7 linked regions of the Canis lupus familiaris genome follow. The protein of the gene in region 2 purifies or fractionates together with the protein of the main gene of each other region. This does not show direct contact. Links are inferred from orthologs where the notes say so. Each region holds a gene or a part of one and is shown on either strand. Other genes may lie near its edges.

Region 1 (3,500 bases), on a different chromosome or scaffold from region 2:
AATTCTCACAGGCCACACGGGTTCTGTCCTGTGTCTCCAGTATGATGAGAGGGTGATCATAACGGGATCATCGGATTCTACGGTCAGGTAGAAAATTTCAAATGATCTTTTGAACTCTGGAATACCATATCTCCTCTGTTTTTTGTCATAGAAAGTTAGTAATTTTGTGTATAGCTGCCTGAACACAGTTCTGAAACTTCATAACTTAAGAAGAATAAACCATCAGCTCTCCACATCATTGTCCACCTAGAACTAGAAAACTTGATTTAGGAATGATTAAGGCAAGTTTACATTTTTTTCCCATTGAAGAAACTACATATTCTATTTTAATTTGGGGGAATCATCCATTATAGAAACTTGGTAAACCTTGCATTTGTTAGAAAAACCACCTCACAGGGAAATGATGTGAATGGAATAAAGCTTCCTTTTAGGTGGTTATAACTGTGGTATAGGCATGCATTATCTCCTTTGAAATGTGTACAGGTGAGCACTGCGCTCTCTTTGCCAGCACCTCCCATGTTATCCCTGCAGTTTTTAATTGCAAGCTTTATTCAGGGAGGGGCCCTCAATTTCCAGAGGCGTTAGTGACTTGATGACGCAGCCATTATGCTGCTGGAGTCCAGTGTAGCTTGAGTTCTGGGTACCAGCAGCACTGCTGGAACCCTCTGTTAGGAGTTTTGCCTTAAGCCAAAGGATTTAGCAAACATAATGCATCAAAAGTAACTTAAAAAAAAGAAAAAAGAAAAAAAGGCAGTTAACTGCATTGTTAGATTCTCTGAAGTTAAATGTTTACCATTCAAAATTATCCTCTGTGAATAGGAAAGGCTGCTCCTGTTTCTTATCTTTTGACTTAAAGGCATAGCAAACTCAGTTCTTAGAGTTATCGACATTTAACATTTATTGATGCTGTGGAGTGCCTCAAGGAAGCCAAAACATTGTAGAGACTAACATCATTTATAGGGTAAGGGACAAAATTATTTTCTAAAAATGGGGTTAAATTGAAAAAGGAAATGTGTTATGAAATCAAAGTAAAAATACAAAAATAGAGTAATCAAAGTAAAATATATCATTACACAAAATTCTCAAGCTATCCAAAGGTCCCACACTCTGCTGCTGGAAGCCCCCATTTACAATGGGATGGCTATTCTTGATCTTTACCCCCATTCAAGGCACAGAAATGGGGCCTTAGATTTAGAGTATAGCTCATCTTGGCGCTGACCTGTATGGTGAGACTGAAAACCCAGCATTATTAAGCTCGAATCCACAGTACTACGTCAGTCTGTTACAGAAGCTTCTTGGCCTATGTCAGTTCTATTTCCTGAGGGCTATTGATGGGACACTAATGCTACTGCTATTACTCAGATTCCTATTTTAAAATGTATCTCATTAAAGATAGCAGATTGAATGTCAAGTTTTATAATAACCTTGAAATCTGGGCCCAACTTATAGGTGATGGTGGTTACATCCTCATTCATAACCCTCATAACTCACACTCAGTAGTGTGTCTGAAGAATTTCACATTGGCAACATCCTATCCCTTCCTTTTCCTACTCTCCTAGTCCAGCCCTCTATCTATCAGTTCCGCATTGGCCATCAAAACTCTTCACCTCAGCTCAGCCTTAAAGTACACTCTGCTCTCTGGAAGGGTAGGGAATGTGGTGGTCAAATAGATTATAGCCAGGAACACCATCGAAACCTCAGATAACCTTCTAAATGTCTTTGTTCCAGGGTGTGGGATGTAAATACAGGTGAAATGCTAAACACGCTAATTCACCATTGTGAAGCAGTTCTGCACTTACGTTTCAATAATGGCATGATGGTGACCTGCTCTAAAGACCGTTCCATTGCTGTATGGGATATGGCCTCCCCAACTGACATTACCCTCCGGAGGGTACTAGTTGGACATCGAGCTGCTGTCAATGTTGTAGACTTTGATGACAAGTACATCGTTTCTGCATCTGGAGATAGGACTATAAAGGTAATGAGGCATTTTTCAGTAAGTCCCCAACTTAGAGTAAGGGAGTTCATGTAAAAATCTGGTCCAAAAAAAAAAAATCTGGTCCAAGGAAATTTCATATTAAATGTCAGTGTAGAGTAATTTAATATTTAATTCAGATACTAGTCTATGTGTAAAAAGGCAACAAGTGAGACAAGCTGTGTGAAAATTTTGGTTGGTGTCTATTCCTATAAATAATGGTGAGTTTAGAAGGGCAGGGGTAAATTTAGCTTTAAGAAAATTTGTCTGCCAACCAGACTAACCCCCTAAGAGTAAATTAATTTGAGGAATTCTCATGTGATAGCAGCCAGGTACAAATTAGCCCTATGTTATTGTGAATTAAACTTGTCCTTTTTTTCTTTTCTCTTTTTGATTTGGTTTGGTTTGGTTTGAGAAGTTGACTTACTGCTGTTGGCTCAGTGCTGTTTTCTGCTTCTCCAAGACTCCAGTTGCCATAGATCTTACTAGTAAAAGCATCAAATCTACTGCCAAATGCAATTTCTCTTTTAGGTATGGAACACAAGTACTTGTGAATTTGTAAGGACCTTAAATGGACACAAACGTGGCATTGCCTGTTTGCAGTACAGAGACAGACTGGTTGTGAGTGGCTCATCTGACAATACTATCAGGTGAGCAGCAAGTGCCTTTACCCAGAAGGGATCACTTTTACCCTGCCATTCATTGTTAGAGAGAGGAAACAAATTTTCAAGTGTATGATATTTATAACGTTTTTCTTTTCTTTTTTAAAGATTTTTATTTTCAAGTAATCTCTACCCCAGCATGGGACTCCAATTTAAAACTGTGAGATCAAGAGTCAAACACTAGCTGGGCATCCCAGGTGTTTTTCCTTTCTGTAGCTTCTTCTAGGTTAAAAGTTTGCCACAAAAAAATAAAGTTTGCCCCAAGCAGAAAGATAGCACAGCAAAGCCTTTTGTTGATGGGTTTCCTTTCTATAATAGTTTTATTACCTGTTTTAAAGGTAACGAGGAAGTGGACAAGAGTGATAAGTAGATGGAGGTTGAAGGCCTTCCTCTTTAAATTCCTCCTGTGTACAGTTAAAAAGTGCTAATAACTAGCCAAAGGCCTTTTCTCTCCACCAATATTCTTAAAAAAAGAAAGAAAGAAAAAAGATTTGTTTCCCTACTAGAAATTGTACACTGTTTTCTTCACATTACATAATTATCCAGGGAGTTTCTAGCCTTTGAAATTATGAAGAATCCACAGATTGAAGTACTTTTTGGTGTTTTCCCTTCACAAAGATGAATGAGAGATATGAATAGAATTTGGAAGATTTATCAATCCTTTCCCTTCCTTCAAAAAGTACTAAGAAGATAAAAAGGCTCCTTTAGAAAACAACAGAGCTACTGTTAGGTCTAAGGAAATTTTCATTTCATTTGGATTGGTCCAAAAGCATATAGTTTTAAGATTTTATTTTTTTAAAGTAATTTCTATACCCAACATGGGGCTCAAACTCAAGCCTGAGATTAATCAAGAGTTGTACGTT
Region 2 (3,957 bases):
AAACCATTTCAGTACCTGGAAGAAAAAGTAACCTCAGCTGTTCCTGGTGTGATCAACATACTTGCCCCTATTACTATAAGGACACGGAGTCCACGGATAGCTATAATCAAACCCACCATATACTGGCTACTATATGGGATGGAATCTGTAGATTTAAATGAAACTTCTTTACTGCAATTAGTTGTCTATTTAGATGCTGGCACCGATGTCCTCTTAACTTAGGGGCTAACACTGAAATTCCTTACTTCTTTGGCTTCTTTTCTTTATAAATCTTGCCAAGCAAAAACTAGCTTTGGTAGAATATTTTAGCTCAAAGTTTATTTTTTTTTTTTCCTTTCACTATTTTTGCCTTTGAGTCTGGGTATGAGATGGGAAATATAGAGGAATAATCAACAGTGCCTCTGTGTCCACAACTCATTCTAAATGTGTGCTTGCCATCTTTAGACTGAGTAGATTTATTCTGAGAGATGAGTATGTCTCCAGGATATCATTAAATCTACTCTATTTCAAACATACCAACGGACTAGAGGCAGAAGACACCAAGTGTTCTGACTATGCTTTATATCTCCTTGGGAAGAAATTTGGTCACATCAGAATAGCCACAATCTCTGTAACCTTCTCAACTTCCTCCCATCCACCTCCAGTTACTTACAAAGATCCATAATGTGGTTCCTGCAGATGGCACAGTTATCAACCACAATATCCCAGGCCCAGAGAGCTACTGCATTCCACTGCAAAGAGAAAAAGGGGGAACAATGCACTCTCCTTGTAACACAGGCGTACACACACTCTAGGATTTCATGCTGCAGCTACAGTTATCATCTCTTTGGCCACAAGGACCACCAGACACAGGAGCTTGGGGATATTACCTTACTCTTATTCATTTTATCAGAGGGCAACAGCAGACTACAAGTGTGCTCACCCATTTTCCAAAAGGCTGAGTATATGAACATAAATTAATGAATCCTCTTTATTTTCTCCTACAGCTTACAATAATTTAGTCAACTGTATCAATGTAAGAAAACCGGGAATAATTTTTGAGAGCCTGTTTTAGGCTTAATAAGCACAAATTTGAATTTCTGCAAAGGTAAATATACGCTCTTCAAGGCAGCTGTGAAGGTATGAGTGGGGAGGTGAAAGCTGGGGACAGAATGAACTAAGATGATGATTGGATCATAAAATGGGTAATCGTGGGATAAGCTGGATAACTAATTATCCAGTGTCAGTACAGAGCAAGGTCATCACTTAAATCTCACAAGATTATTTCACAACAAATTCTAGAATTCACTAAAATTTTGGTTAGTTCCTTCCATCAAATAAACTGGTGTTCTAAACTTTTACAAGCTCAGGCTCCTATTTAGTTCAGATAATTCCACTTAAGAGTTCATTTAAAAGCGGTATTTAAGTAATTCAACCTTTCTGGCTTCTGCAATTATAAATATCCCCAAACTCCCTTTTCATCCACCAATTTGGTGCCACTTCCAAAACCTTCATCTCTTTCGAACGCAATTCCCCGTCTAGTTAAACTTCTTTAGCACTTTCCGACAGCTTCAACTTGAACGGGGGAAAAAAAAAAAAAAACACAACAAAACCCTATTTCTATTCTTCAATATGGCTGCTGGCTGTAACTGAGCATGCAGTGCCCACAATGAAACACCAAAAAAGCACTAGGAGGGGGGAATATTGTCAGTGTTTAGCCAGATGTTCCAGGAATAACATTTCCCCTATTTGAGTCTTCATTTTGAACAGATTTATTTTATATCATGTGAGAATCGGCACTTTCCTCCCAAACTGTTGGCAAACCACTATAAAGCAGTTCATGCAAAAAGACACGTTCCACATTTTTGCTTTCCCACAGTCACCAGGTCGTTCGCCACTAGTACTCAACCCTTCCTAAATGACACAAGGTTTGGGCTCGCATTTTCTTTTTAACAAATTCCACCATGCTTTCCCCCCCCCCCCCCCCTTTTCCTTTTTGGACAGAGGGATTCTGGAAACGAGCACAGGACTGTGGAGGCTGTGTGACAAACCAACAGACCTCTCAGAAGAGCCAAGAGTTGTTACACTGGAGACACTTTAACTCGGCGGGGGCGAGGACTAGAGAGAGGGCTGAGGGAGGCCTCGAGGAGGCGAGGACCAGGCTGGGGTCCCTCAGAGTCAGAGGGACCCCGAGCTTCGGGAAGGGGCGGGGCAAGGAGATCACCAGCCGGGCTCCTCAAAGGCCTCCACTGCGGTAGGAACTCAGGTCCCGGCTTTCGCCGCACTGCCCCCATCCTCCACCCACCGCAGCGCTCCGACTCCCCCTTCCATCCACCCCACCCACTCCTCCCCACCCCTCCACCACTCCAGTGACAGCTCAGGCGCTTGGCTCCCTCAGCCAAGTCTCAACCCCGCGCATCTCAACAAGCGCCTCTGTGATTGGCCCCTCAGACTCCTAGTGAAACCAATACTGCCATTGGTAGTGGGCCCCAGTCACGCCGATCAACTCTAAGACCCGCCCCCCAGCTTCCTTTCCTGGTACCCGGTCCCAGGAACGCCCTGAAATGAAGCCCTTTCCTCCGCGCCTCGGTCATCCTCGGGCCTGCCAGCCAGATCCGCGCCTCTCTAGCCTCTCTGAGGAAGGCGCTGGCGAGACCCAACCTTTTTCACTTCAAAGCGCTTCTTGCCCGCGCCGCTGTTGGTGCCGCTCGGGGTATCCACATCCATCGCTGCCGCCATTTTGGAAACACACGGTCCGTCGTCCGGCCACTGCGCCTGCGCACCAGCGCACGCCTCGCTCCCCCTCCCGGCCCGGCACCTCCTCTCGCACCCCGCCCCTTACTGGCGCGCGAGGGGCAGGTGGGGGCGGAGCACGTGGCCACGCCTCTTAAAGGCGCTGGCGCAGGTCCCTCCCTCCTCCTTCCTGCCGCCGGCCCCCGAGTCGGCTGGGGAAGAGGCGGTGGCCGGGGCGGGGCCGGGCGGGGCCGAGCCGACGTGCTCGAACCGGGTGGAAACGCTCGAAAGACTAGTCTCCTCCCGCGGGAAGCCCCCGGCCGCGCTCCCTCGGCTGGGGCGGCGGCTGCTTCCTCCGCCTCGGCCGCGACCTGCCGCCCCGGCCCCGCCCCGCCTTCCCCGCTGCCGCACCGCTCCAGCGCCGGCGGGTCTTCCGCAGCGTTCCGCCCGGGGAGCGGCCAGGGCGGGCGCCCCGCCTCCTGCAGCCGAAACCGGAGACCCCGCAGTGTCGCGGGTCTCGGCTCGCTTCCGAGCCAGGCCCGACGTGCAGCCTCGCTGGGAAAGCCGGGCCCAGGCGCCGTTAGGTCCCTGATTCCGATTCGGGAAATGCTCGGGATTCGACAGGGAGCCGGGAGCTCCCCGAATGTCCTCTCCAGGGCCCAGCCGCGTAGGCATTCTCCCGTCCTGCCTCAACCTGCCCACCTGGAGCCTCGGGGATGCCGCCGCCCGCCCGCCCCAAACGCCATCCGTGCTAGAATGCCCTTTGGTTAAGGCGCAGGGTTTCAGTTTCACATACTCTTAACACACCTTTCCTGTTCCTCAGTTGGCCACCTAACTGTGGGGGTCCCCTCTCCCTGATCTCCATCCTCTTCCCGCTCCTTGCGCCGTGGGCACACTGCAGTCCTACTTGACTTTGTGTGAGGCGTTTGGCCATTGATTCTTACTGGTCGTTCCCAGCCAAAGCACCTGTACTTCATGTCTGCACCCGGAACCCCTTGTGGCTCTCTAACCCTGCAGAGGTATGACTCGGCTAGATCACTCCTAAATCTCGTATTGGCTTATTTGGAATCTCGTATTTTCTCTTGAAAGAAAATTGGAGCATAATGGAGTGTATGGACTCCACTGCCAAACCGGAAGAACTGCGATTTGTTTCCTTGCCTTAGTCATAAACAGGAACAACAAATCCATGAAAACACCACCAGGGCTTACACCAGACTTGGAAAGAGAAAAATTGTGTGAGACCTT
Region 3 (3,500 bases), about 26 Mb from region 2:
ATTCAAGCCCTGATTAATCCCACTATTATTACAATAATTACTTGATAATTTACTCCAGTTTCTCTTCTATTTTTCCGTTTCCTCCAACTCTTATGTTCCTTTCTCCACTTAAAAACCATTTTCAGAATAAAGTTTAAAATTAAGTTGCTACTTAAAGCCTTTCAAAATGTTCCCCTAACCTATTCTGTTGTCTTACTATGTTACCTATGCTTCTGATTATGCTACACGTTTTTATCTCTAATGCCTTTGGTTTGTGTTATTTCCTCATCCTGGAATGTCCTGCCCTCTTTATTCCTAATGTCATTTTCTCTGGAAGATTTGTTACCCTCCATCAAATTTATTCTCTCTTCTGAGAGTACAACAATATAATGATTAAAAAGTGAGCTGAGGAATCGGACTTGAGGTCTTCAAATATGGATTCCACCACCTTCTAGGTCTGAGTAGGTAAATTATTTACCTACTTTGTCTCAGTTTCCTTATCTAAACTGGGCATGATGGCACCTACATATAGGGTTATAATGAGGATTAAATGAATTAATACATGCGACAGTACACATGTGAAAGTAATATTACTCCTATAAAACCCACTGAACTATCAGTTGTGTACTAGCATTTCTCTGCTCTCTGAAGACATGAAACTATTATTTCTGTGGACATTGAATACATCTGTGGTATTTCAGTTTTGGCCTCTAAATTGCTTTCCACTGGAAAAGACCATTTCAAAGTCCCTACCTCTAATCTGCTTCTGCTAAGATCCAGTCTGAACTCGCCTACAAAGTCTCTTAGGATTTGGGCCCCGCCCCTTCTCTAGCCTCAACTCTAAGTACCTCTGTACACCTTACTAAACCACTTTGTTTCCTGTAGACTTCTGTTTACAATGTGCCATTAGACTATAAACTTTCTGGATGTAGTTTTATTGACCATTTTTAGCATCTGTATCAGTTGGTACAGAGGTGTTCAATTAATATGTACAAATGAAAGTGTGAATTATGCCTTCTACATCTGGAATGGCCTCCCCACCCCACAATTTACCAGTGAATACTCATTTTTCAAGACATAGCTCAAGAGTGATTTTAGTCCATGAACCTTTTCTTCACACCTTACAAATAAAACCATCCACTGTATTGCATTTGTTCATTATATCCTGTAAAGACTCCTAGGAGATCTGTCACCTTACTGAATTACTAGGTTATGAGCTCTTTCAGAGTCTATGCCATTAATAGAATCATCACTGCTTGGCTGTAGTAAATTTTGAATTATTTTGTAGTAAGAACTAGCTATCCTTCCATATTAGATATGTACAGTGCTGGGTTGCTGACATTTCAGGAATGGGAATGGTGATAAATTTGCATTTGACATTCTCCCCTAATCACTATGAACAACGTGCATTTGCAAGGGGCAGGGACAGTGGAACCTTTGCCTCAATGCAAAATGAGTTGACCTTTACGTACACAAAACCAGGCACACCTTGTCTTCATTAATTCCATTCTCCAACAAACAGTTGTAAACAGGTACAAAGCAATACTTATTTACTACAGACATTTTCATTTATTTACAAGCCAATTAATTTCTATCCTAGTTCTATAACTGGACCTTGACGTTTATTATATCACTATTCTAAATAAGGTCCAGAAAAGAGAATAAACAAATTCTACCTTTAAAAAGCCTAACAACTAGCACACTCAAGATGGCTAGAAAGAGAAAAAAATTGTGTAGATCTCTTTCTGCTTTACCTCTAGGCACTAATCTTATAAACTATTTCAAGATTTGGTAAGGAAAAAGACTGAGATTCACTCAATTATAATTCATTAATTGGCAATGTCACTGATCATTAGAGATATGGAGGAAGAATAATGAAAAATTGGATTTTTTACTAATGCAAAATTAACAACAATACCTCGACCCCCATTAAATATACAGATGCCACCATCTCTTCCATCATGGATTTTATTTCTTCTTAGTGTAGGATTACTATCTGTCTTAATCCAGACTCCAGCCATTGCATTGTCAAATATTTCATTGTCTTCTATACAGCCTAGACCTACAAGTGGAAGAATTGAGGTTATGTCATTTGGAAAGTATATTTCTAAAGGCAATTAGCAATAAGAAAAGGATGAAAGATTAAACCTACCAGAATTATAAACAAGAATTCCACCATTCTGTCCTCCCCAGATTTTGTTGCGTCTAATTTTGGGGTTGCTTCCAGTCCTATAGATATAATAGAAAAAAATGCCATCTTAACTGCTTCTATTCCCATATCCCATGTTATGTGAGGTAACAGTGAAAAAATTCATATTAATTATAGTAAGAAGAACTATACAATGGAGTCTTTCCAGATGCTCTGAGAAATTTGTCAGTAAAGACACTAGTTTAATTTTGCTTAATTCTATTTCCCATAGAATACACTTAGCTATAGATTAATTACTATAGAGTCTCCTAATACATAAACTAAACTGAGGAGATTAAAAAAATAGTAGTCACTTAATCTATAAAGATTTTATTTATTCATGAGAGACACAGAGAGAGAGGCAGAGACGTAGGCAGGGGGAGAAACAGGCTCCCCTCAGGGAGCCCGATGTGGGACTCAATCCTTGAACTCCAGGATCACGCCTTGAGCCGAAAGCAGAGCTCAACCACTGAGTCATCCAGGCATCCTGATTAAGTGACTACTATTATGGTATACTTCCCTAATATATAAAATGAAGGGCTGAATTATAAGTACTACTAGTTTCTAAAACTGTTAAAATATAGGAAATAGTGTAAAAAACTATTAATTTTACAGAAATAGTGTAAAAACGGAAGCTCCCATTTACTGAGTGCCTACAACATGCCACATATAGCTCACAAGTGTTTTCATATAGCCTTCTACTTTCCAAGTATGGTGGAGTACATTGGAAACTATGACTGTTAACAGTGGATAATATAACAGTGGAAATGTGCTCTTACGGCAGGTGTATGTGCCACTGGTTGCTTGCCTCAGCTGGTTCAAAAAAACAACAACTATATTCTGACAAAGCCAAGCATGTGGTAAGAGCATGAATATATATACAAAAGGAGGAATAAAGACTGAGCATTAAATAACAAGGAAAGTTCTACATACCCCACATATTACCACCCAACTCCCTCCCAAAAGAAAGCCAAATGTGAAAACATTTACCTTATCTGAACCCCAGAATACATATGATTATAGATATCATTGTCCTCTAGCACTCCATGTCCATTGTCATAAAAATAAACACCAACCTAAAATTAAAAAAAAATGTTTTCAAGTGACAAAAAAGTGTTCATAAAACAACGTATTTCCCATATAAGAGTCCAAAATAATTTTACCTGCTTTCCACTATGTATCCTGTTTCTTCTCAGTACTGGAGTGCTGCCAGTTGTCACCCAGACCCCAGCCAGAGTATTACTATAAACTTCATTCTCTTCTATTACGCCTTGTCCTTTCTCATGCTAAATAAAAGTTACATTGATTACGATATATATCTTCTGGAAACAAG
Region 4 (3,500 bases), on a different chromosome or scaffold from region 2:
AATAGTGAAAGCGACCTAACTGCCTACCAGCAAGGGGGCTGAATAAACAGACTATGGGTCGTAAGCATACACCGGAATCCCAGTGAGAAGGAGCATGGTATGTGCTGACAGGGAATGCTCTCCAAGGTAGATTACTGAATAAAAATGTTGAGTACAGGACAGTATGTATACTATGATCTCATTTCTACAAAGATAAGTTTTTAGTGTATAAATGTACCTATAAATGCGTTAAATTTTTCTAGATGGACACCTAAAAAATGTTTAATAGTTTCTTCTGTGGAGGGAGGCTGGGGGAAGGCAGGAGAAAGGAAACAGTTACTTTTCATTTTATATCCTTTAGAAGTGCTTGAGATTCCTCTTTTTCACCATGCTGAATATATAGTGCCTGAATACACCTTATAAAATATAAACAGAGAGATTTAATTTTTTAATTGCCTTATAAAAAATAAAAATCAATGTTCTTTTTTTGTTACTTATACATCTTACTATTTTTGTACCTTGTTTCCTTCGTATACCCATCCTAGACTCTTCACACCAAAAGCAGCCTGGTTGGCTGAGACATCCAGACATGTGACTGGCTGGCCGTACACATAATGGAGGGTTCTGGCAGAGTCTTCAGCCTTTAGCAGGTATACCAGATCTCCAGCCGTGGCCACTGCCACAGGGTACCTTCCAGTATCTGGTACTATTTCAAGGTAGTCAACCTGTGAAAGGATAAGAGTTATGTAGCCCATCAGATCTCACCTATAGTTCCTCCTGACTTGGTAAAAAATACAATTTCTCCTACACATCAATAAGGCCAGCAACCCTAACAGAAAAAGACAGGCAAAGGGTCACAGTTCACAGGAAATGAGAACATAGTTCTCACACTAACAAAAAAGTTGCTCTTTGTAAAAGAAACATGATATATTCCTAAAAAGAGGAATGTGAAATAAAAATTCAGCAATACCATTTTCACCAGTCATATCAGCAAAGATCAATTAGCCTGCTAGGACACTGATCTAGAACTAGAGGAAGGGACAACCACATTTGTGGATCCCACTTATGGTTGGTGGGATGTAAACTGGTCCAGCCTCTCTAGAGAGACACTGGCAAAACTTACCACAATGTCAAAGGCATATGCGCTCTGAACCAGCAAGTCAGCCCTAGGAATTTATTTACAGATAAATTCACACATATGCAAAACAACTGTGTACATGGTTACTTACTGTGGCACTATGTTGTCTTAACTAAAACTGGGAAAGCCTAAACATGCCTTATTAAGAGACTAATTAACAGTGTATCTATTGGAATACTATGCAGCCACAGAAAACAAGCATGAAGCATTCTTTATAAACTGATACAAATGGAATCATCTCCAAGATAAATTTGGGGGTGCGGGAGGCAAGGAAGCAAAGTGATATGATTCACAGTGTGCTAATGTGTGTGAAGGGGGGCCAGGGGGACCAGAGGTACCATGAGACATATATGTGGCTTATGCAACTATAAATCTGCTAACAACGGCTGCCTTTGAAAAGGGCACAGAGTTTTTTGATGGAGTGGAAGACAGATTTCTCCCTGTAAACCTTTCTATATCTTTTAAATTCTGAACCATGAGGGTATAACTATTCAAAAAATTTTAAGTTTTTTTTTTTTACAAGAAATTGAATGAAATCCACTCCGTTCCAAATTAGCACACTTCACATTTTAACATTTGTGCAAATACCAAAAATGATATTTGTGTTGCTAAAAGACTAAAAGTACCTGAGTTACATGTCCTCTGCTGGCTTCAATGTCATCGAGGGTAGAAAGGCTGCCACCAGTACTTTTATGCCACTTCAGTACTCCTGACTGCATTATTGCAACACTTTCTCTAAACTGCAGGGGAATGAGGCGTTCCCTTTAGGAATAATTTGCTTGTCTATGTCCCGAAGTGGCACATTTTTCCTGAGCACAGTTTACACCAGGTTTTCACCTCGAGTAAAATCTGAGAGCACAAAAGCAGAAGGTGTGCCATGCTGTGTAATTATGAAAACCACTGTGTAAAAGGACAGCACTGCCCTGACAATAAGCCAAATGAGTTCAAAAGCCTGAATCCTGAGGACTGTCCAAAGGAGCTTGGGAGAGCGTAAACATCCGGGTGACTATGCTAATCCTCCGGCCCAAGAGTGAGCACGGCCCCACATCCCCAGCCAAGAACTCATCACAAAGGACAGACGTTCTCAGCCAGTAGTACAAACTGGGGAACACCGCCACTGTGATTCAGGGAGCCTATCTGGGGAAGACAAAAATGGCCCAGCACTAATGGGCCAAGAGGTGCCTTTTTCAGTGACAGCATATTCTATGGCAACCCCTAACCCAGGAGGAGAAATAACACATAAGAAGTATAGTAACACATGCCTCCAGCAGTGTCTGCTTCCTTCCTCTCTCTCGTATTCTAAAACTCATTTCTTATTTTCCTAAAATCAACATCCTCAGTCTAGCCATTTAATTTCACTTTACTGTTGGAGTATTGACAGACCAAGAGGCTCATATCGGCTGTGGTTGTGCCATTCGCCAAGAGCTATAAACTACTTCAAAAAGCTTCTAGTCTATGCCAGAACACCACCTTATTGCCAAGGCAGGATTTACCCTGTATAGAGGAACTCACATCTTAAATAATTGTCTGAATTCATATAATTATTGCTAGTGTAGAATGTTCTTTAGGTAGAGACCAAATAATAAACACTATGGTAGTTTTAAGAACAAACAGAAAGATAGTACTTCCACATTTTTCTAATAAAACTCCAAAAGGAGCATCAGGCTGTTTGGGGAAACCACCACCCAAACTGTAGAAATTGGTCTTTAAGGGACGAGAAGCTTATTGGGGTGAAGTGGTGACACCATGGCTTTTTAGTTACTCAAGCCTAACAAGATTTCTAGCAGGGTGAGAAAGGGAGGAGAACAAGATCTGTTCTGGGTTAGACCACCAATTCATCATTCAATACCGGCTTTTCTGTTCACTCCTCCAGTACTGCCAAAATCAAGTGTTTAAATTAAATCTAAATTTAGCACAGATTTGAGCTCTTTCTTCTTACCACAAAATCATCTCCTGCCATATAAACATGGAGGCTCAAGTACAACTATACTTGGAGATAGGATCTATGTGAAGAGGTCTTAAGGTTGGCTGAGTCTCACACAGGACACCCTGGAACGCGGCTATCCAATTAACACTGACTTAAATTTATTTTCACTCAGGAGTTACTTTTAATTCCAGGTGAGAAAATCTTAGGCGGAAGAAAGTGCAGGATGGAAATCTTCCTTCCCATATGGACTGGGATGATACCACTGAATTCATTTTCACTTCTATAATAGGCCAGAAACCAAGCTCAGATTTCCAGGGGTGAATGTGAAGAAAGCTGAGGACCACAGCTTCAGACCCAGATGAGAAACCTTAGCCTTAAAGTCAGCCCTGAGGCTTGAAGCACAACTTCCTAGCTTTGAGATCTGGGCAAAGCCTCAGATTGGCTCTAAGCCTCTAT
Region 5 (3,500 bases), on a different chromosome or scaffold from region 2:
ATAGGAATTATTGAAAAAGTTCCTATTTTTACTCTTTTCTTATCAGTTTGTCACTTAGCCCGGGCATCTGGGGCTAAAGTTCTTTGTACCATCCTACCAGATAAAATTCATTCGTGGATGGCAGATATTGCTGCTATTACACAGAGAAGAGCAACACTCTAATCACAAACAAGTTTACAAACTTTTTTTTTTTTTTTTTTTAAATAAACCAAACCCTATCTCAAAGGTCATGGACTCAAAAAAACCAGCATGTTCCCTATTCTATTACAAAGAGAAATAAATGCCATAAAGGACATCTTTCCAATAACTGAAAACATAATGGCTAAGACAGTTCCTTTACTTAAAAAAAAAAAAAAAAAAAAAAGACTGAACGCCCTCAATGAGAGATTTCTACAAATTATACCCATCAAGGGTTAACAAGTAAGTGAACTCTGGAGATAATTGTACTTTTGAATTAGAGAAACAGTGACACTCAGGGAACCAGCAGCAAAGACGTGTACAAGGTACATTGGAGACAGGGTCTCTGGAAAACTCCTGCTCAGCTCTTTACTGTCTTAGGCCGTTTTCTAACCAAATGCCAAAGGGCTAACTTGGTCATTTGGTTAGAAGACATTTTCACTTGGGAAGCTGTATATGACTTTTTTTTTTTTTTTTTTTTTGAGTCATTTTAAATTCAAGAGGTCAGGATCTTGACTCCCTACTCACACTGCAAGGAGTTGGAAGCAGGCATCAAGGGATTTAGACTAGACCCCAGCCTCAGTTTTACCCCTAGCTAGGGAATGGCTCCTACGCTTTCCTGGGATGGAGTTTCCTCATTTGTTGGCTGAAGGACTTCCCCAAAGTGCATTCCATCCTAATGCTCTGATTCCTAGACTTTGTTAATGCTATTAGATTATTCTTGTCAGTCACCAAGGATCAAAACCCTAGAGCTGACTTCCACTTGCTCAACTACTTAAAAACTTCCAATGGCTACCCAGTGCCCACAACACTGATTTGCAGGAGTTATTGAAAACCATATTATTACTTAATATTTGGAATGTGAAAAAGAAATGATTGTCTTCATAAATAAACTACAGAAAACGAAGCCTGTCAAATTATTGAACAGAAGATAGGCTGACTCTCCACTCCAGTACCCATAGAATATCCCACCAGGGTGGTGAGGCTGTTTGATTTTGATCAACTGAAACAGAGTTTTCACTTCTTTTTGGATGAGGACACTTTTACACACTCAAGAAGAGTCTACACCAGACACTGTGGAGAACACAGTGATCATAATAATGTAGGGACAAGGGACACAAGAAATGTTAAATGTTAATGCTGGAGAACAAAATGCACACACCTGAAACGGGACACTATACAGTGGTTTACTAGTCAATGCTATTGCATGTATGCCTTCTGAGGTGAGTTAAAACCTGCAAGTGTTGCAGTAGTCAGCAAAAACCCAATGGAAGTTAAATTTGAACCGAACTTTCATGGCCAAGTAAGATTTAAGAGGGAATTCTAAGAAAACGGGGATACCACTATTGAAGATATGAAGCCAGGAGGGAAGATAATGACCTGGCTGGAGCAAAGAGGGTGTTTTAGAGAGTAATGGGGAAAGGTCTGGGGTTCAGGGAAAGTCCAGATTATGCAAGGCACTGAACAGCAGGTTAATTAAAAAACAAAAAACAAAAAAAAACAAAAAAACCCAGGACATTAGTTGGCCAGAGTGGTGAAAAGGCCAAGTTTCAGGCTGAACTGATGCTAGGTGTCAGCAGCCCTGAGGCTGAGATTGAAGTGCCACTTCGAAAGTGGCTGCCGGAAGTAGGGGTGACAACCTGCCTGACCACAGAAACAGAATGGGGACATGCAAACACTGGAAAGGAAGAAAACTGATGAACTGGTAAGTCAGAGGGGCCAGGGAATGAAAATGAAGGAATGGTCATAGCCGTACTTCACAACCACAATTTATGGCAGTGCTTATGTAATATGCTAGGAATTTAAATTCGTTTAAAAAAATGAAGTCACATTTGTTTTTGTCTGACTTAGCAGGAACAAAGTTATTCCCCTCATTTCTGTCCACTCGACTTCTTTCTCACTTCTCATTATGAACAAGCCAACTTACTAACATGCAAGAACACCTCGGCCTCATTAAACTCCGACCAGGAGAGGTAAAGGGATTTGCTGAAGGTCACACGGAGACAAAACTGGACAAATTTATTTGACTTGGAAATGACGCTTCAAAGCTTGGAAAAAGAGAATTCAACCTCATTAGCTAACTTACTAACCTTGTGCTTTGAACCAATGGTGCATCCTTCCAAAACACTATCTCTTCAGCTGACAGCCAAACATTCTGGCAAAATCTTAGCTCTAAAGTTTAACAGTTTTGCCTGCCTAAATGATCAGAAACCCACTTTTCCACTGTTCCACCTTCAGGGATGATCTCCCTCCTCTGAGGAACAACTTAGCTGCCTGTCGAAAGATCACTTGTAGAGTCTCACCTTCAAGATACGATTCATAGTCATCAGGCTGCTGAAGAAATGCCTTAAGGTTATTTAAAATTTTCTGTTGGCGTAGGTAGTAAAGAATTTTTTTAGCATAGTATTTCCAGGTCAAAGCTTTTCTGGAAAACAAACAAACACATCAATGAGCATTAAGATACTAAAGCCTTTGACTACCTTATTTTTTACTTTGAGCTACTCCTAGGATGCAAAGAGCCTACTTAACAAGAAAAATGTAAGTCGTTCGCGTCCACATAGTACTTTTTATCCCAGAAGCAGACAGCACAATTCAAGACTTTGCATTTATAAGTAACAGTAAGTCATTCGTGCTGAAATCCAAGGAACACTGACCTGTTTGGCTTCAGATTTACTAAAAAGAAATCCAAGAGAAAACTGAAGAGCTGGGGTAGCTGGCTGAAGCTCAGAAACCAGAGGTGAAGTGTCTGGAATCCTTTGCTGGCCCGTGGGCACCTGCTTTAGGAAACTCAGGCCTTGGCCTCCTGCTTTTCTCCTTCTACGCTCACTGCCATGGTGATCTCATCCCGTCTCATGATTTCAAATATTCTCTCCACTGACAGCCCTCAATTTATTTTCCAGTACTCATTGCTCCTCTAAACTCCAAACCTGTATATCCAACTGCTACTCCACACTCCAACTTGGCTATCTGGTGAATTCCTTAGGAGGGCTTCCCCTCCCAGTCATCCCCCTCAGGGAAAGGCAACTCTGCCACTGCCATCAGGCCGAAAGCCTTGGCGTTCTTGCCTCCTTGCTGGCTTGCTCTCAGAGGCCACACTCACTCCGTCCACCAGTGCTACTCGTTCTATCTTCAGAGTCCACTGGACATGTGAACACTTCTCACTAACTCATTTAAGCTGCCACCATCTTTTGTCTATATTATAACAGCATACTAAATGAGCTTCCAGCTTCCAACGCTGGAAGCTTCTATAGTCTCTCCTCCACACCGTAGCCAGGGTGCTTCAGTTAACGTGGTTGAGTCACAGCACAAAAATCCTCTGCCCC
Region 6 (3,500 bases), on a different chromosome or scaffold from region 2:
TAGTCATTTTTCCATTGTCCTGGCTTTTTTTCTAACCAAATTGTTTAATGTTTGGGCAAAATAAAGATTGGTTTAAAAAAAAAAGAAGGAAGGAGGGAATGAAACCACAATGATAGAGCCGAAACTGCTGTGAGTTTTATCGTTTTAAGTTTTTAAGGTATTATGAAAGTACCATGAGAACCTGAGTCTTGATGCTTTCTATTACTTAACTATTTCAGCAGTAGACAGTCCTTAACTTTCTCACTGGACTCTCTGAGGTTTTACAAAGTGATAATGTGTATTCCTTTACAGTTTATAGAGGGGACCACTTTGGAGTCAGTGGTAGTGCTAAATGACACTGTTCACAGTAGATTAGAGAAGCCAGTGTCCCTGACACTGATGAGAAGATTTGCTGAGGGTGGCTGTCATAAAATATTCATGGGGCGGATGGTAAGAGCTACTTGTAGAGAGGCTAAGAAAAGGTTGTTACAGAATTAGTTTGCTAACTTTGTTTTGTACGTGCTTATGATTTCTTTTTGCAAACAATGTAGGAAAACCAATGATAGAAAAATGTGAAAATTTCAGTTTCACATATAAATCATACACCAAGAAAAAGTCTGGATATTGTGTGGGTTTATATTTCTGAGATGCTTCATATACCTAATAAGAGGCTCCCACTATGACCTCATAAACTGGACAACCCTAATATGCAGTATCATCTAAGAGGGGGTGTCCCTAAGCCTCATCAGGAGAGGGAAACCTCCATGCTCATGAACTGGTTCTTTTTTTTTTAAAGATTTTATTTATTTATTCATGAGGGACACAGAGAGGCAGAGACATAGGCAGAGGGAGAAGGTGGCTCCCCATGGGGAGCCCGATGTGGGACTTGATCGCAGGACCCCAGGATCATGACCTGAGCCAAAGGCAGATGCTCAACCACTGAGCCACCCAGGTGCCCCTCGTGTACTGGTTCTAACTTTAGCAGGCCTCATGGATTCCAGGCCAGAAGTGCCTGGCCTGGAAGCCTAACACCCCTGGCTGTACATACTATATCCTCTCCTCAACCCACACACATGCCTTTTCTTTCTCTTTACTGCCTGCAATCCCTGTCTCCCCCAGGAAAGTCCTTGTTATACCATTTAGCTACGTGGTTTCATCAATTCAGACATTAAAAGAATGCCGAATAAAAATTAAAAGAATAGTAATACATGCATGTGATTAAAAAACTGAATAAAAGGAAATATAATGAGAAGGCTTCTACCCAATTTAGTCTCTTTAAAAAAAAAAAAATGTTTTTATTTATTTAAGTATTCTCTACACCTAACATGGGGCTCGAACTCATGACCCTGAGATCAAGAGTCACATGCTCTTCTGACTCAGCTAGCCCTGTGTCCGCCAAATTAGTGCTTTAAAATATACAAATGATCTAAATATACATATGTATCTTTCTACGTGTATAATGTGGACTGGGAGTGAAGATAGAAACAAGTTCAGGAGAGTGAAAATCATGAATGGGACAGACATGAAGAACTCAAGGATAGTGTGAATCATGTGTGGGAAGTTGTTTCACAGAGATCTGTTTTACTTTCAAGGCTATGGGATATTGAATGTGGTGCCTGTTTAAGAGTCCTAGAGGGACATGAAGAATTGGTCCGATGCATCCGGTTTGATAACAAGAGGATTGTCAGTGGGGCCTATGATGGGTATGTATTTCAAATTTTTAAATACACTACTATCACTGTATCTAGAGGAAAAACAAGCGCTGTATATTAAGCAACTATGTATGTGCCAATTCTGTGCTAGATCTGTGTAATGGATGGCAGATGTTATTATACCACTTGATCAGGTGAAGCCGCTCAGGCCCAGAAGGATGAGTGGTCTTGCCCCAAGTCTTACAGTAGGATAGCTTCTGTAACTCCTATGCTTACACTTTTAACCATTAGTGTAACCATTATTGTAAACTTTGTAAGTAGCTTAGGTTGTACAGGAATTCCATTCTTTGCCTCAGTCCTAAATTAAGTTAGCTGTGTGTGCGTGCGTGTGTGTGTGTGTGTGTGTGTGTGTTCAGTGGTCCATTTCCTTTACCCTTTGGTTAAACACTCTTTTTTAAAAAAGCCTCAGGACTTTTTAAATGAGCAAATGGCAACTGTAAACCTTTCAAGGTGACTTTATGTATACTTCACAAATGGACTAGTTGGTCTGTTTATACTCCTTTGCTTAGTTCGAAGAAAGGTATCCTTGGAATTTCACAGAGAGTCCTAGCTTCTGTCAGCAGCACCTACTCAGCTCCAGAAAGCCCTCTGATTAATGAATTTGGTGACATAGATTATCAGGTCAGGAACTGAATTTAGATAGCCTGAAGTTGTTTTCTCATCTCCCTTAAAAAATATTTCTTCACAGTTTCAATAATTCCGAGAATGTGTAGGTCCTTATTTTTTTTTTCAAAATCAAGTGTAAATGGTTTAAATGACTTGTTACGACATAAGCAGTCTCCATTAGCTTTTCTTTTTTTTTTTTTTTTTTTTTTTTTTTTTAATTTTTATTTATTTATGATAGTCACAGAGAGAGAGAGAGAGGCAGAGACACAGGCAGAGGGAGAAGCAGGCTCCATGCACCGGGAGCCCGATGTGGGATTCGATCCCGGGTCTTCAGGATCGCGCCCTGGGCCAAAGGCAGGCGCCAAACCGCTGCGCCACCCAGGGATCCCTCCATTAGCTTTTCTAATAGCAGTTCAGATGTACTTTTTTCTATCAAGGAAGTTCCTGACGGTATATGAAATGTTGTTAACTTTTCTACTAATCGCAATCTCCATTTATTTTCTAGGAAAATTAAAGTTTGGGACTTGCAAGCTGCTCTTGACCCTCGAGCCCCAGCAAGCACTTTGTGTTTGCGCACATTGGTGGTATGTAATCTGTTGAAATGGGAGTGGTTCCTGCCCTGGAAGATGATACCTGCAGATAGACCTGCCTAGGTGTATCACAAGAAAGCTTGTGTATCTCATCACAGTGTGCCTTCAGAGAAATGCGCTGTTTTGTTCATTTTGTTTAGCCAAAAGCAGAGAATAACTGACATTTACATTACAGGGAGCTCTTTCCCAAGGAGCATTAATACAACTTAATATGTGAAAGCAGGCATCCTCATTTGTAGGTGGATTGGTTTCCTCTAGAGTACAAAGTATTTCCTGTAGATTTGGGAGATTTCTTAATATGGGTATCTGGTTACGTTATATTTTTATAATATAGCACATGTTTGTATTATGATGGAATTTCCCCTTAATCTATATTGTATGGATTATTGCTTTGGCATATAAAAATACCTTATTTTTATGTGTTAATCTTGTTTTAGCAACTTTGGCAGGCTCATTATTTCTAATAGTCTGGTTGCTTTTGTTACATTAATGAGGAGACAGTTGTTTGAAAATATTGATAGACTTGTTCTTATTTTCAGTAGCTTTACCTTTTATTTCTATTTTTTTGCTTCTTGCACTGATTAGAACATGCAGTACTGTGATTAGGACTATT
Region 7 (3,500 bases), on a different chromosome or scaffold from region 2:
AATCAGACCTTTTACAATTTAGTATTGTTTCTGTTTTTAATTAAGACTTGGATGGGAGGGATGCAGAAGTAAGGTGGAATAGAGGTATCATCATCTTTTTAATACTTTGAGTTTCCAAAAGTTTTAATGTGATGCTGCATCTACCTTTCTCATGTATTTTTCTCACCCTGAGTGTGTGTATAGGGAGTCCAGAAGTCCAGATGAAAGTTGTGTTAATTTTTGGGATTCGGATACACTAGCTTTGAGCAGTAAATCTACATGATTGTTTTCTGCTAGGAAGTGTTAGGTTCAGATTTCTCTTGGAAAGGGGGCTGTTTTATCTTTCCTCCTCCCCACCTCCCGCAGCACAAAAGCCTCTTTTGAAATCCTAATGCAACTCCTTTGGGCTCTGTTGCTAAGATCAGATAGGGCTACTTATGCTTTGAAGCTAACTAAAAAGAAGCAAAGCACAGATGGTAGCATGTTGCTCAATAAATCTAAGGTATGATGCAATCTCTTGAGCTGAGTTATCTTCGTACAGCAAGCAGGCAAGGTTATTTAGGTTCAAGGGCCCAGACTGCACAGCAGGGATGTCTGTTTACAGTTTTAAAGTAATCAAAGTTAAAGAGGCGGCCAGGCCAGCCTGTCAAGACTTGTATTCTCCTCCAAAACATATTTGTGCTTCAGTCTTTGGAGTCGACTCATCTTCACCAGGCTTTAGTCCTATTTCCAGCCACCCAGTTATCTAAGTTTCTGGTTATTTCCTGCTTGCATTGGTGATATGGGACTTACCGGACTTTCTTGTTGTTTTCCCAGTTTCCTTTGGATGTGCTTTGTAGGAGTTCTTATTTTCCCATGTTCATTGCTCCACTGCTGTATTTGTGAGCAGGTAGTTATGGGGCATACCTGTGTTTTAGGCACTGGGATCTATGCTGGTAACCTGCAGAAATACCACACTGGTGGAAGTTACTAACCAGCAAGAGGCAAGACTGACGTTAAATAGCTAATTGCCTACAGTTGTTTTCATGGGTGGGTTAAAGGCCACACTGTGGAGCATTTGGAGACCCCACCTAGCAGTTGAGGAGTAAGGAAAAGCTTCCTTGAAGAAGAGGTGTGGGCTAAGCCCTGAAGGAGGAGTATCTGCATTAACTAAATGCCAGCAGTGGGTGTGCAGTAAGGAGCAGTGGAGGCTGAGAGACCAGTCCGTTCAAAGGCCCGGAGACTGAAGGGTCCCAGTGCTGGAGATGTGAAGTGCAGTAGAGAGCCCTCAGAGGGTTTAAAGTTAAATGAGGTGGTAATAGGATTAGACATGGGGGTGAGATTAGCTGATTGAAAGGGGCCAAGAGTAGGTGGGGGGAGACCAGTGCAGGCTGAAGATACTATCTTGGATCAGAGCCGTGGCAATTTGGATAATAGTAAAAAAAAAGTAGGAGAAAATTCAAGAGGTAAAATCAATAGATTGTGGTGATTGAATCTGCGGCTTGATTAAGGAGGAGAGTTGGATGGTTGCCATGTTTCCTAACGGTGAGCAGTTGGGTGAAAGAGCAAGCCAGGAAACAAGGAAGAGAAACAGGTTTGGCCAGCAAGTTCAGTTAAGGACGGGTTGAGTGTGGAACAGGTCTTCAGGACTAAATCCTCTGCCTTCCACTGTCAGGTGGAATCTGGCTTGCTGTAACTCTTTCACCTCGGATTCCCCGCCCCCAGCTGATCTCCTTTACCTGTTCCTTATTTGTCCTGGTTACCAGGCCCTGCCCTTCCTGGTTGACCTCTTGGACACACACTAATTGGTAGTGTCCTTGTTGAAATGTGGGTTTATTGACCTCTCACAGGGCTCAGACATACTGTCACGGAGCAGAATTGGTTTATCCTTCTCTTGTAGCTCTTTTCCTAGTGCCTCCAAAGAGGACATCAACTGTTCTTGCCTCATTAAGTGTGCAGACAACAGACTGTGTTTTTTTGTTTTTGTTTTTTATCTATGCTGTTTGGCTGGATCTCTCCCATTCTGTGCTTTTGTCATCAGCCTTTGGGGAAGGTGAAGGCTATCCTCCCACGCCCCCAGTTTTCTCTCACAACTTCTGACACATTTATTATTGTTTCTGGGTTATTTTCTGGTTATTTCTCATCCTTCAGCCTCTACTGTTTTTAGAGTTTGCTACCTGCTGAATAGAATAGCATGTAAATCACTTGGTTTCTAGTCTTCATTCTGGGCTTGAGGAGGCTCCCCTAGACCAGCATTTTAGGATTTGATGAATCCATCTTTTTACCTAGTAGTAAAGTGATTGCATCCCAGTTCTTACAGGTAACTGACCAGTCGTGAATCCTTAGCCAAAGTATGTATCCCAGCAAGGCTTTTGTTTTCATATTTTGGAAATGAGATATTACATGAGATAATCTATAAGATCCTTTTCAGCCCGGGTAGGCATTTTGTGCTTTCATAAATGTCCATCATATGCTGCCTTTCTCCTTACGTGCCTGTGTTACCATGTCAATGTGAAGGGTTCCTTCCCCTCCCCTTAAGGAAGTACAGCTTTTTGTCTGTTTCATTTTATTGAAAACTTTCATTGTCTTGGATTTTGTATTGGTTTTTATATGTCTCCAGAAAAGATTGCGGTAGTGGAATCAGAAGTAAGGCGGCCTTCTGGTTCATGTTTCGAAACTCTCGTCTTTGTAGGGTCATCAAGACTCCTGAGATAGCAAACTTGGCCTTGCTTGGCTTTGGAGATATCTTTGCCCTGCTGTTTGACAACCGCTACCTGTACATCATGGACTTGCGGACCGAGAGCCTGATTAGCCGCTGGCCCCTGCCAGAGTACCGGAAATCAAAGAGAGGCTCGAGCTTCCTGGCGGGCGAAGCGTCCTGGCTCAATGGACTGGATGGGCACAATGACACGGGCCTGGTCTTCGCCACCAGCATGCCCGACCACAGTATTCATCTGGTGTTGTGGAAGGAGCACGGCTGACGCCACGCGCTGGCCGCCGCCGACTGTGGGTGCCGGGGCTGCGGGGTTTCAGTGCGACCTCTGGCAGCCGACTGCATGAACCAAAGCTCTCACCTAACGGTATCGTCGCGCAGTGCACAATCATTTATCTGTGTTTGCCAGGGGGCCAGGGCTCGGGGCGGGGGAGGGCTTGTTTTCTTGACACACAGCACAGCATGCTAACGGGGTACACCATTGACTTCATTTGTACTTAGTTACGTTGGTCAGTATAAGAGGGTGCATTGAGGGTTCATCTTTCTTGAATATTGGTTTTCAGTAAAGAAAGTTAAATGGTTCATTAACCTGCTAATTGGTTGCCTATATATAAAAACACATCAGTCTATTATTAAAGCTTTTACCATCGCCTTTTTTTCTTTTGAAGTTGAAGCAAAGGTGCTATGATGTTCCAGCAACTTCTCTCACATGGGGCTTAGCTTTTATAACAGTCAGTGTTACAAAGACCACTGAGTCCCGTGACATTCATAAACTCTCCACCAAATACCAGTTCTAAAGAAGGTCTGTCTTCCAGGACAAAGCAAGTTC

Evidence for each region.
Region 1: the proteins of RBX1 (region 2) and BTRC purify together in Homo sapiens (affinity purification with western blotting; 5 studies listed by BioGRID and IntAct, with this or other methods). This does not show direct contact. The link is inferred for Canis lupus familiaris from reciprocal best matches to the Homo sapiens genes RBX1 and BTRC.
Region 3: the proteins of RBX1 (region 2) and FBXO11 purify together in Homo sapiens (co-immunoprecipitation; 4 studies listed by BioGRID and IntAct, with this or other methods). This does not show direct contact. The link is inferred for Canis lupus familiaris from reciprocal best matches to the Homo sapiens genes RBX1 and FBXO11.
Region 4: the proteins of RBX1 (region 2) and FBXW8 purify together in Homo sapiens (affinity purification with western blotting; 6 studies listed by BioGRID and IntAct, with this or other methods). This does not show direct contact. The link is inferred for Canis lupus familiaris from reciprocal best matches to the Homo sapiens genes RBX1 and FBXW8.
Region 5: the proteins of RBX1 (region 2) and FBXO21 purify together in Homo sapiens (affinity purification with mass spectrometry; 3 studies listed by BioGRID and IntAct, with this or other methods). This does not show direct contact. The link is inferred for Canis lupus familiaris from reciprocal best matches to the Homo sapiens genes RBX1 and FBXO21.
Region 6: the proteins of RBX1 (region 2) and FBXW11 purify together in Homo sapiens (affinity purification with western blotting; 4 studies listed by BioGRID, with this or other methods). This does not show direct contact. The link is inferred for Canis lupus familiaris from reciprocal best matches to the Homo sapiens genes RBX1 and FBXW11.
Region 7: the proteins of RBX1 (region 2) and FBXW2 purify together in Homo sapiens (affinity purification with western blotting; 3 studies listed by BioGRID and IntAct, with this or other methods). This does not show direct contact. The link is inferred for Canis lupus familiaris from reciprocal best matches to the Homo sapiens genes RBX1 and FBXW2.

What each region holds. Positions count from the first base shown.
Region 1 is NC_049249.1:14,339,408-14,342,907, forward strand, and holds part of BTRC (F-box/WD repeat-containing protein 1A), read left to right. Parts: coding exon 1-87; intron 88-1,728; coding exon 1,729-1,978; intron 1,979-2,506; coding exon 2,507-2,625; intron 2,626-3,500. UniProt on the Homo sapiens protein: Substrate recognition component of a SCF (SKP1-CUL1-F-box protein) E3 ubiquitin-protein ligase complex which mediates the ubiquitination and subsequent proteasomal degradation of target proteins. Recognizes and binds to phosphorylated target proteins.
Region 2 is NC_049231.1:25,236,048-25,240,004, forward strand, and holds the start of RBX1 (E3 ubiquitin-protein ligase RBX1), read right to left. Parts: upstream 2,801-3,957; 5' UTR 2,719-2,800; coding exon 2,641-2,718; intron 732-2,640; coding exon 653-731; intron 1-652. UniProt on the Homo sapiens protein: E3 ubiquitin ligase component of multiple cullin-RING-based E3 ubiquitin-protein ligase (CRLs) complexes which mediate the ubiquitination and subsequent proteasomal degradation of target proteins, including proteins involved in cell cycle progression, signal transduction, transcription and transcription-coupled nucleotide excision repair.
Region 3 is NC_049231.1:50,897,462-50,900,961, forward strand, and holds part of FBXO11 (F-box only protein 11), read right to left. Parts: intron 3,454-3,500; coding exon 3,331-3,453; intron 3,244-3,330; coding exon 3,158-3,243; intron 2,209-3,157; coding exon 2,132-2,208; intron 2,042-2,131; coding exon 1,898-2,041; intron 1-1,897. UniProt on the Homo sapiens protein: Substrate recognition component of a SCF (SKP1-CUL1-F-box protein) E3 ubiquitin-protein ligase complex which mediates the ubiquitination and subsequent proteasomal degradation of target proteins, such as DTL/CDT2, BCL6, SNAI1 and PRDM1/BLIMP1.
Region 4 is NC_049247.1:13,931,001-13,934,500, reverse strand, and holds part of FBXW8 (F-box/WD repeat-containing protein 8), read right to left. Parts: intron 705-3,500; coding exon 498-704; intron 1-497. UniProt on the Homo sapiens protein: Substrate-recognition component of the Cul7-RING(FBXW8) ubiquitin ligase complex, which mediates the ubiquitination and subsequent proteasomal degradation of target proteins.
Region 5 is NC_049247.1:14,090,847-14,094,346, forward strand, and holds part of FBXO21 (F-box only protein 21), read right to left. Parts: intron 2,603-3,500; coding exon 2,481-2,602; intron 1-2,480. UniProt on the Homo sapiens protein: Substrate-recognition component of the SCF (SKP1-CUL1-F-box protein)-type E3 ubiquitin ligase complex.
Region 6 is NC_049225.1:41,241,322-41,244,821, forward strand, and holds part of FBXW11 (F-box/WD repeat-containing protein 11), read left to right. Parts: intron 1-1,571; coding exon 1,572-1,682; intron 1,683-2,802; coding exon 2,803-2,881; intron 2,882-3,500.
Region 7 is NC_049232.1:74,240,788-74,244,287, reverse strand, and holds the end of FBXW2 (F-box/WD repeat-containing protein 2), read left to right. Parts: intron 1-2,650; coding exon 2,651-2,939; 3' UTR 2,940-3,325; downstream 3,326-3,500. UniProt on the Homo sapiens protein: Substrate-recognition component of the SCF (SKP1-CUL1-F-box protein)-type E3 ubiquitin ligase complex.